Linked DNA regions of Saccharomyces cerevisiae S288C. The protein of the gene in region 2 binds, or shares a complex with, the protein of the main gene of each other region. Each region holds a gene or a part of one and is shown on either strand. Other genes may lie near its edges. The genes, in order: ARP1, ARP10 and JNM1.

Region 1 (3,675 bases), on a different chromosome or scaffold from region 2:
TTGTAGGTCTGTGCGTATCGGTAAAATTTTAATTCAAAGGGACGAGGAGACTGCTTTACCAAAGTTATTCTACGAAAAATTACCAGAGGATATATCTGAAAGGTATGTCTTCCTATTAGACCCAATGCTGGCCACCGGTGGTAGTGCTATCATGGCTACAGAAGTCTTGATTAAGAGAGGTGTTAAGCCAGAGAGAATTTACTTCTTAAACCTAATCTGTAGTAAGGAAGGGATTGAAAAATACCATGCCGCCTTCCCAGAGGTCAGAATTGTTACTGGTGCCCTCGACAGAGGTCTAGATGAAAACAAGTATCTAGTTCCAGGGTTGGGTGACTTTGGTGACAGATACTACTGTGTTTAAATAAATCACACCCGAACACCATCTTGAAGGTTCAGAACGGCTGAAGCCGCATATCAACTTTTGGTTTCTACTGTTTTAAATTTCCTTTCTCGTTTTAAACCTTTGTTGCCGTCTCTTCTACTATCAATTTTGTTGTTCATGCATGTTTAATTACCTTTTTTTGTAAAAATAATATAAACGTATCAATGGCTATTTATAACAAATATGCTTGAAAAATCTAACGACTCTGTTTCTTACATTAGGTTCGAATAAACACGGGTACTGTCCTCTAGCCAATCTGACTTTTTGGTCCAAAGTCTTTGAAAGGTAGATAACCCCGTTAAAATAGAACCACCAATCCATGTAGTATATTTTCTTTCTGAAGGGGCTATAATCTTTATCTTGGATGTTCCTTTGGTTAATGCCTCCAAATCCCATAGCATTCGGTCTCCAAAGCCTTTAAGCGTTGTAGTTCCGCCACTTAGGATTATCGATGACAGTAAAGGTTTCCTTAAATCCAGATCGACTTTCCAAATAGATTGCATGCACATATCAGATAATCCATCGTACCCTAAGCCGATGATTTGAGGTGAAAATAATATTTCTGGAGCACGATATCGATCATTCCCCACCTCTATACACCTCCCGTCGGGCAATTTGAATGTCGAGATTAAATCTTGAGTACCTTGTAAGTATTTCTCCTCTTCCTTTTTAATATTCTTGGCCAAATAACAAACTTTCTCTTTCATCGTGCGAACAATCTCTCGTTCACTGCTGGAAAACAACGAAACACCAGCTGATTTCCGTAGTTGAAATTGTAACTGCTCTGTGATATCTGCTCCTCCAATATCCATCCTCATCATAGACGCAGGTAATGCAAAGCCGTCATATATGGGAACAGTGCTACAGTATCCTTCACCACAGTCAACTACACAACCTGTAGTTCTCCCACTAGCATATAATGACAGAACAGCAGGGTTTGAAACGTACAAAGCCGATACGTCAAAGGTCTCGAACAATACTTGAGCCATCTGCTCTCTATTCTTCAAAGGATTCATCGGGGCTTCCGTAATTAATAAAGGATGCTCACCTATATTTTGCAACTGTAGGACTTCATTTAACACATATGACCATATTAGTTCCATAGAATCCCAATCTTCCACCACGCCGTGCTTTATGGGGTATCGTAATTTTAATAATCCACGCAGTTTTTGGGCATTGTTTCCAATAAATGTATCTCCTTGCAGACCTTCGAGCATAACTTTATCATATTTGGTATTTCCTACGAGACAATATTCCAGTGCTTTAGGCCTTTCCTCACCACTAAATCCTGCTTTTATGATCCCAGAACCATTGTCGATCACTACCGGTTGATTGTACAAAGCATAGCTGTCACTTAGCTGGTCCATTGGCTAACTTTCTTTCTAATTCCTCAATTCGTGGTATAGCATTAGCATGTACTCCTTGGTCTATGCCCTTTTATTAATTTGCTGTTTTATTGGGAATATCTGCTATTTGCTTCGCTATTATTCAATAAAGGTGTTTATCATTATTGATGTGCATCGCGAAAATGGCCACTTTGGAAATGAACTTTTTCTTGAAAAGATTAATACAAACGGAAAAAGAGAAGGCAATAGGAAACTCACCGTCACACAGGTGTACTGTGTCCTTTGCTTTGAGCTCTTGTTCAGAACATTATGCTACTTAGCATTCTTTTATGAGCTTTTTTCTGTAGTCTTATTATAGGTTGATGAAAGCGTTACCTTCAAGAAATGATTTTTAACGTGGTATAATAAACACTGTTTATCATGGTAAAACAGGTATTTCTTTTATTCTTTGGAATTACCAGACGATACCCATTCAAAATTCAACTTCTAATCAAACGTTGATCAATAAATACTGTATTATGTTGCTTGTTTGAAATTAGAGGCATTGCCTTTGTTAAATTGAAATATAAACTGGAAAAATGAAGCGAAAATAAAGTACTGTCTATAAACAAAAACCTTAAAATGATTAATGTTAACCTTTCTGAGCAACGAAGCAATCCATACGTATTGAAAGCTTTAGCTCTTGGAGTACGGTGTCGAGAAATCGAAGTAAGACCTAGTAGAAAATCATTAGTTTGTATAGACTAGTCAATGACAAAGTAATAGTTGAAAACAATACTGTCTTAGTTCGCAACCATTTATATATATTTAAACTTATTTTTTACAGCCCTTGCTAATTCCTGATGCCAAGTAACGAGGGGCAAATCATCTGAGTATATACGTACATATACATCAATGATGCCAATCGGAAATGCTTTAACATTTCTGAAGAATTCTTTAAAAGGTTACTATTTTTACTCAATTCGAGAAAATGCAAAATATAATTACCCACTTTTATGTAAACATCGGTGTCAAAATCGTGAAATATACCGAATGATAATGTTGAAAAGAAACTCAAGTGCAAAAGAAAAAACACGATCCAAAGTGTATAGAATGAAATAAAAAAGAAATAGAAAAACTCCTCATCATGTAGCATATATCCGATGATAATATATATACTTTTAGTCATGATATTAATTCTGCAAAAACAAGATTACTGCATCACAGCTTATGCAGTAATCTGTCCATCATCATCGTCATCGTCGTCGTCATCATCATCATCATCATCATCGTCGTCGTCTTCGTCGTCGTCATCATCATCATCATCGTCGTCGTCGTCATCATCATCCTCACCATCATCACCGTCACCGTCGTCCTCCCCATGATCTTCAGCGTCCTTTGTTGTTCCAACAATTGCATTCTTATTTTTACAATTAAGTTCTATCAACGCCGTAGGTCCCACGATGAAGCCTTTTAAAAAATGATTCTTCTGCTTCTGTAAGCTCTGGCGGTTGCTAAAGTGAATTTTATTACTTGTTTCAAAGGTTGGTCCCGAAACTGGAATATAGATAACCTTACCCAAACAGTCGTTACTATCTAGAAATGGTTTGATGCACTTCAGAGAATCCCTCAAATAACGCCTTCTTGAAATTTCCTTAATAGCTGGTTTCCATTTAATATCATCCGTTCCGTAAGGTATATTGGAGAAGCAACTTAGAGTAGAAGATGCTCGCCTTCGATTTCTTATTCGTTCTTCAATTAAACATGAATAATCACTTTCACTGCCATAAGCATAACCAATATTACTGTCATCAGTATCATCATTAGTATCATCGCCAGCATATTCATCGGTTTCACCGTCATTTTCGTCCTCATCGGTCTCAGTAGCGCTTTCATCGTCATTGATTTCAGCGTCACGGTTTGTGAGACATAACGACCTACTGCTTTGGGATAAATCTGTGGCGGATT
Region 2 (3,505 bases):
ATATTAATGGTTAACTTTCTGTTGTATTACGGGCTCGAGTAATACCGGAGTGTCTTGACAATCCTAATATAAACAGTCTTAGGGAAGTAACCAGTTGTCAAAACAGTTTATCAGATTAATTCACGGAATGTTACTTATCTTATATATTATATAAAATATGAATCATACTAAGTGGTGGAAGCGCGGAATCTCGGATCTAAACTAATTGTTCAAGCATTTATACGTTTGGGTAGTTCAGCTAGGGAAGGCCGTGTTTTATCTCATGTTGTTCGTTTTGTTATAAGGTTGTTTCATATGTGTTTTATGAACGTTTAGGATGACGTATTGTCATACTGACATATCTCATTTTGAGATACAACACTTTCGATCCAAATTGGTCTCTTGGCCCAGTTGGTTAAGGCACCGTGCTAATAACGCGGGGATCAGCGGTTCGATCCCGCTAGAGACCATTTTTATTTTTTCTCCTCTATTGTTAAAAATAGCTCTTTACTATCATAAACTTTTACATCAAAAGCTCAATAAGGCTAATTGTTGTGGAAAGACGCAGTTTGGTGAAGAGAACACTTCCTGTTTTTGTTTTCTACATATACATAAAGCCTATTGTAAGCGCTTCACTCCAGTTCTGAAGTAATAATCAAACCAATCAGGAGCAATATGAGGATTGTTATAAAACTCATCTCTTTCTATTCCTACAATGTTGCTCCCCTTATAGTGCAGAAGTATTTTCGCGCATGCAGAACCAGCCTGCCAGTAATTTTTAGGAAACTGGATTTTGGACGTATCCATTTTTAACTTGAATAAATTCCTTATTACTGTTTCATACGCCTCTTCAATGTTTACTATAATGATATTTTCTCTCAGTGGCCTTCTCAAGTCGATAGGAAGTGACTCTACAATATTTTTGACAAGATTTATTACCGGGGTTTCATCTACTTCACAATTTTTAGAGTTGTATTCTTCGTCAAAAAATATTGGCATGTAGAGACTGCCCGGGAGAGGAATTCTTGACTCAACCTGTCTTTTGCCTCGTTTTGAGTATTTTATGAACTGTTGCAAAGGTCTAAGGTCGAAAATAGGTACGCATGTAGTATAATTGGTACCTATATCTATAACTATGGCATTCCTTGTATTACAGGATAAGCAGTGCACAATGGCCCTGGGGACAAACGAAACGTGAGCGCAGTCAAATTCCTTAAACAAGATGCTACAAATAATTCTTTTCTCTACTACAGAAATGAAGATATCTTCTAGTATCAACACTTGTACTTCTCGATTTCCCAAGATGTTGCAAATTTGGAAGTAATGTTCAAATATTTTTTTCAATTCTTCCCTATTTTTTTCATTAATACTACCTGTTTTCCAGGCGATAATTTCTTGTGGACACGCATCAGCACTTCTTCCAATTTCGATTCTGTTAGCTCCCAAATAGACTATCACAATAGTATTCGACATTTCCTCATAGGGTTTCCTGGGTAGATTTTTTTTATCATTTCACAGTGTCGAATATTGTAGTATTTGTACCTCTTTTGTTTATGTCTCTCGGCTACAATAGAAGTTCCGACAATTAGATTCTAACAAAAAAGAGAACTGTTTTTGAGGTCTTTATGCCCCCAAAACGAAGTTTATAATCAAACAACAGATTTACTTCATATCAAAATACCCATCACAAAGTACAACAATCTACCATGGGTGCCGTAATTTCTTTGCCAGTTAGCATGGCGGGCTCATTCGTGGCGTCCTGTTTTGGAGGTTGCTGCTCAAACTTGGTGACTAAGACTGCATCTTCCCTAGGATCTTCTTCTTTAGGGACAAGACTTCTGTACGCCGTTTGGCTTTTACTTAACTCATTGATATCATGGGTGTCCTATTCTGCGAACAAATCAATCCTATGGCCAGGGAAGACATGTACTGGGACTGGGGAATGTGGATTTTTTACAGTTCATAGGTTGAATTTTGCATTGGGATGCTTACATTTGATATTGGCGCTTGTACTAACGGGCGTAAAGTCGACTAATGACGTAAGAGCAGCATTACAGAATTCGTGGTGGAGTTTAAAATTTATACTGTATTTATGTCTCATTGTTTTGTCATTTGTCATCCCCAATGACTTTTATATTTTCTTTTCCAAGTGGGTGTCAGTCCCTAGTGGAGCAATTTTCATCCTGGTTGGGCTTATATTATTAGTAGACTTCGCTCATGAGTGGGCTGAAACGTGTATTAGTCACGTTGAGTCAGAAGATGAAGATTCCTCATTCTGGCAACGATTTTTGGTTTTAGGGACAACTTCAATGTATACCGCATCGATTATCATGACTGTTGTTATGTATGTTATGTTTTGTCATCAACAATGTAACATGAATCAAACAGCGGTAACAGTCAATTTAATATTAACTGTTATAACGCTTGTCTTATCGGTGAATCCTAAGATCCAAGAGGCCAACCCTAAAAGTGGGCTGGCCCAAAGTAGTATGGTTTCTGTTTACTGTACTTATTTGACAATGAGTGCCATGTCTTCCGAACCGGATGACAAAATGTGTAATCCGTTGGTTAGATCTAGTGGAACCCGTAAGTTTAGTATCATTTTGGGCTCTTTATTTACTTTTATTGCGATTGCTTACACCACAACTAGAGCCGCTGCTAATAGTGCTTTTCAAGGCACCAATACTAATGGTGCTATATATCTCGGGAATGATATCGAGTACGAAGGACTAGGTGGACAGACAAGAAATCAGTTGAGGTATGAAGCTATTAAACAAGCTGTAGAAGAAGGATCTTTACCGGAAAGTGCCTTATATGATACCGCTTGGTTAGGGACATCATCTCCTACAGGCGCAATGGATAACCAAAATGATGATGAAAGGACTGGAACCAAGTACAATTACACTCTGTTCCACGTTATATTCTTTCTGGCAACCCAGTGGATTGCAATTTTACTAACAATAAACGTTACCCAGGATGATGTAGGTGATTTTATACCCGTAGGAAGAACATATTTTTATTCTTGGGTAAAAATAGTTAGTGCATGGATATGTTATGCCCTTTACGGTTGGACAGTGGTAGCCCCAGCGATTATGCCCGATAGATTTGATTACGAGAATTACTATTAAATAGACTAACACAAAAAGATTTTCTTATAATGTATGTAACTTTTTTTTAAGTAGCCCCCAGTAGAAACACTAATTTTACTATACTCATGCACTAGTTTCAAGAAGATGAGTAAACCTCCCTCAAAAAAAAATGGATCTTAATTATCTAATTGAGATATCGCTTCTCGAGGATTATTTTAACTATCCTCTATTTATTTGAAATGCCAATTACAGTTATTATCGATCGACCGTTTTCGAAGGATCTCTTTTCTTCTTTTAAAGGTAGAAAACATTCTCTCAACCTTCTTTATGCGATATTCGGAGTTTGCGCCGTGCTTCAAAGATATGGTAAAACAAAATCATTGTGGCTAAAGAAATGTCTGGTGAAAATATCAATAACAAAAGTCAGCATACAGTGA
Region 3 (3,684 bases), on a different chromosome or scaffold from region 2:
TCTGTGTGATGTTTTCGGTCAACCCATCACACAGGCAGATATATCGAATCCAACTAGGGCAAGAGACGAAAGACCTTTGGACACTATAAGAAGTTTCGAGTATGCTGTCTCCGGAGACCCGGTCTGGGCCCAACAGTTGGAGACTCCAACTTACGGGTTCCGCGTAAGACCTGATTTCCCTGTGTTTGGTGCTGCTGTGACTTACGATGCGAACGGTATGCCACAGCAAGTGGGTGGTGCTTCCAGTCAAATGTATGGTGAACAAGCAGTGTATCAGCCACAACAACACGTACAGACTGAGGAAAAGCAAAAGAAGAAGAAGAAGGGATTGTTTGGTAGAATGAAGAAGAAATAAGCGCTTGATACCCTTTAGAGACTTTATTTTTTTCTTTTTTATGATAATTTCTGTTTTCCGCTCTTATTTTGGATATTTCATATTTCATATTGTTATTATTACTATTATTATATATACATACACACACATATTTTCAATTTTTTTGTCATATGGAGACGAAAAAATGAAGAATGAAATTAAATTGGTTTATAAAATTATTTCTCCGCCTTTTATTTGCTATTTCTCTGTAGAGCTTCGTCTTCGAGGGTATCAATTTTACGCCTGATCTGCTCCATATTTTCGCGAATTTTAACCTCTTGTTCATCGAATTTTTTATCCAGCTCATTTAAAGCCTTTAGCCAAACTTTTCCTTGTTCTTGGATGCTGGTTATTTGTGAATCCAGCCCTTTCGTGGTTTCGTACACCTCGATCACCCTGTTGTTCATTTTATTGAGACTTTTCATCCTCTCCGCCAACAGTGGTAGTGAATCTTGATATTGCTTGAACATGGAATACATACTATTTATCTCCTTTACTTTGTTTTCGGGCATAACAAGCTTGCTCACGGTGTCATCTTTCAACCTCAAGTCCTGTTGTATTTTCTTGCCTAACAATGAGTTTTCAAATTCCTCGTTCAGTTCTACGAGTCTATCCCGGAACTTTTGCAGCTTTCCTTCCGCCTTATCATCGCCTTGTAAAAGTTGAATACTTCTATATAGTTCATTGACTTTACTATGAACCGATTTCCTATCTTCTTCTGCCTCCAAAGCTTCTGGTATGCCAACAAAACGTTCCATTAGGGATATTTTCTGATCTAACTTTTGCAATCTTTTGATATTACTCGTATCAAGAATTATGTTTGGCAATATGACGGTATCTTGGCCTTCATATGTTTCGAGAAGCTTCTTCCTCAAATTTGTCAATCTACTAGATGATTCCGTCGCCAATTTTGATTGAATTTCGCACAATTCCTTGATTTCAGTTTGCATTTCAGATGTTAAATTTTCTATTTTCAACTCCTCCAATTCTTCTCTTATTCTTTCTAATTTCTGTTGCCGACTTTCATCTTCTTCATCGTTACTCAACTTTCTCGCATCTGCACAGTCTGATTGGTTTTGTCTATGTATCTTGAAAAGCAACTGATCTCGAATAGCCCTTCTCAAACTCTCAACATCTCTCCCTGGTTCAACGATGAGCCCATCTTTTCTTGAAGATGCTTCTTCCTGCTCTTCTTGTTGTCCATCTTCCTTCACTTCATTTTCAAAAATTTCTTGAGATTCCTCATTGTCAATGCCAATCAAGCTATCATAATCCACATTGATGGCAGGATCACTTAAATCTATGACGTTCATCAACCAGTAGATTTCTTTATCTTTCTTAGCCTCATGACTTATCTGCTCTTCTTTTTTTTTTTGAAATGCATTGGCTCCCAAAAAAGTAATAGTACATCTATACTTGTAAACACTATTATTTGTGCTGGAAAGATGGCCCCTCAATTGGAGTCCTAACTTTGATTATACAAAAATGCCACTGAAACGCTCCTTAAAAGAATCAATCGAAAGATTATCTAGTTTTCAATCAAAATATAATATTTTCACTAGTATCAATCCATCTCCTTATTCAATCACAAATAAAAAAGGTACAAAAGAAACATTGACAGGTTGCGTTGCCAGTATCAAGGATAATATAGTTACAAAAGATTTTCCAACCACATGTGCCTCACATATACTTGAGAATTTCAAGTCTCCCTTCGATGCAACAGTAGTGAAACTATTAAAACAGGCAGGAGTGCATATCTTAGGCAAGACAAATTTAGATGAATTTGGAATGGGTTCTGGGGGAGTACATTCAATAAGAGGGCCCGTAATTAACCCTTTATATCCTCATGAGGACAAGAAGATCATGGGAGGTTCATCGTCTGGAGCCGCTGCAAGCGTTGCTTGCGATCTAGTCGATTTTGCCTTGGGAACAGATACTGGTGGCTCCGTTAGGCTCCCCGCATGCTATGGATCTGTTTTAGGATTCAAGCCGTCCTATGGACGGTTGTCAAGATTTGGCGTAATAGCGTATTCTCAATCTTTAGACACTGTTGGCATACTTAGCAAAAAGATAAACGTCTTGCGAAAAGTATTTCATACGCTCGATAAATATGACATGAAAGATCCCACTTCCTTAAGTGTGGAATTGCGTGAATTGATAGAAGGGAATAAAAAGGTTAGGAGACCTTTAAAGGTAGGAATTGTAAAGGAATTTAGCCATGAAAGTATGCCCATTGGGTTCCACAGATTATATTTATCCTTACTAGAAAAGCTGATAAATTTAGGGCTTGAAATATACCCTGTATCCATTCCATCTGTAAAAAACTGTTTACCGATTTATTATACGCTATCACCCGCTGAAGCGGCTTCCAATTTATCAAGGTATGATGGTATCAGATATGGATACAGAGATTCAGAACTCGATATAAAAGACGGTATTTTATTCGCACCTACTAGGTCCAAATTCGGAACAGAAGTTAAGAATAGAATCATTCTAGGTAATTATAATCTTTGTTCAGATGCATTTAAGAACAATTTTATTAAGGCAGAAAAGCTACGAGTTAATTTGATCGATGAATTTGACGGGATCTTCAGATTTCCAAATGTTTTAACTAATTCTAAGGGAAATCCAGACGGCCTAGATCTACTGATAGTTCCCACATCGTCCAAGCTTCCTGGATCCATAAGGGACTTCGAAGAAGAGGAAGCCAAATCTCCGGCTAACTCGTATATAAACGATGTCTTTACTGTCCCAATGTCATTGGCTGGACTACCAAGTTTATCAATGCCTTTAAAAGAGAAGACCCCGATTGGCTTACAGGTAGTAGGTCAATATGGTGATGATTCCACTGTGTTAGATTTTGTCGAGTCAATATCATAAATTTGTGAGGACAACGTTAATCATGTAAATATTATTATTTTTACTTTATACCTATAGAAAGTTCGAAAAAATTAATCTATGATATTCACATACAAAATTTTACCATTATACTGGCAGAACCCTAACTCCCGCTAATTTATCTACTATTGGAGCGATTGCTGGGTGAGAAAGTATGGGACCAATTATGGGCATTGATCTCAAAAATTGTACGATGACGCCAAAAAAATCACCAAAGAGACCTATAATACCTAGAGATTCAATTATAAAGCCCAAAAATGTCCATTTCAACAGTATTAAGAAGGCACCAACTAGGAAAAATAGTGAACCGCGCCTTTTGTTTGGCCTGGTAAAAAAAATATATGTCTTTTGTGAACCGATTATTAAGAATACTCCAATTAAAAACAAAATATTGCCCAAGGCCAATAGGGCAC

The links.
Region 1: ARP10 (region 2) and ARP1 share a complex: the UniProt entries of both Saccharomyces cerevisiae proteins name them as parts of the dynactin complex.
Region 3: ARP10 (region 2) and JNM1 share a complex: the UniProt entries of both Saccharomyces cerevisiae proteins name them as parts of the dynactin complex.

What each region holds. Positions count from the first base shown.
Region 1 is NC_001140.6:362,405-366,079, forward strand, and holds ARP1 (actin-related protein 1), read right to left. Parts: upstream 1,750-3,675; coding exon 595-1,749; downstream 1-594. Other genes in the region: FUR1 (uracil phosphoribosyltransferase), read left to right, coding at 1-361; YHR130C (uncharacterized protein), read right to left, coding at 2,561-2,896; YHR131C (uncharacterized protein), read right to left, coding at 2,936-3,675. UniProt on the Saccharomyces cerevisiae protein: Core component of the dynactin complex which assists cytoplasmic dynein by increasing its processivity and by regulation of its cargo binding.
Region 2 is NC_001136.10:664,951-668,455, reverse strand, and holds ARP10 (Arp10p), read right to left. Parts: upstream 1,453-3,505; coding exon 598-1,452; downstream 1-597. Other genes in the region: TMS1 (Tms1p), read left to right, coding at 1,686-3,107. UniProt on the Saccharomyces cerevisiae protein: Pointed-end-associated component of the dynactin complex which assists cytoplasmic dynein by increasing its processivity and by regulation of its cargo binding.
Region 3 is NC_001145.3:854,968-858,651, reverse strand, and holds JNM1 (Jnm1p), read right to left. Parts: upstream 1,687-3,684; coding exon 565-1,686; downstream 1-564. Other genes in the region: GSR1 (Gsr1p), read left to right, coding at 1-355; glutamyl-tRNA(Gln) amidotransferase subunit HER2, read left to right, coding at 1,859-3,253; GOT1 (Got1p), read right to left, coding at 3,359-3,684. UniProt on the Saccharomyces cerevisiae protein: Component of the dynactin complex which assists cytoplasmic dynein by increasing its processivity and by regulation of its cargo binding.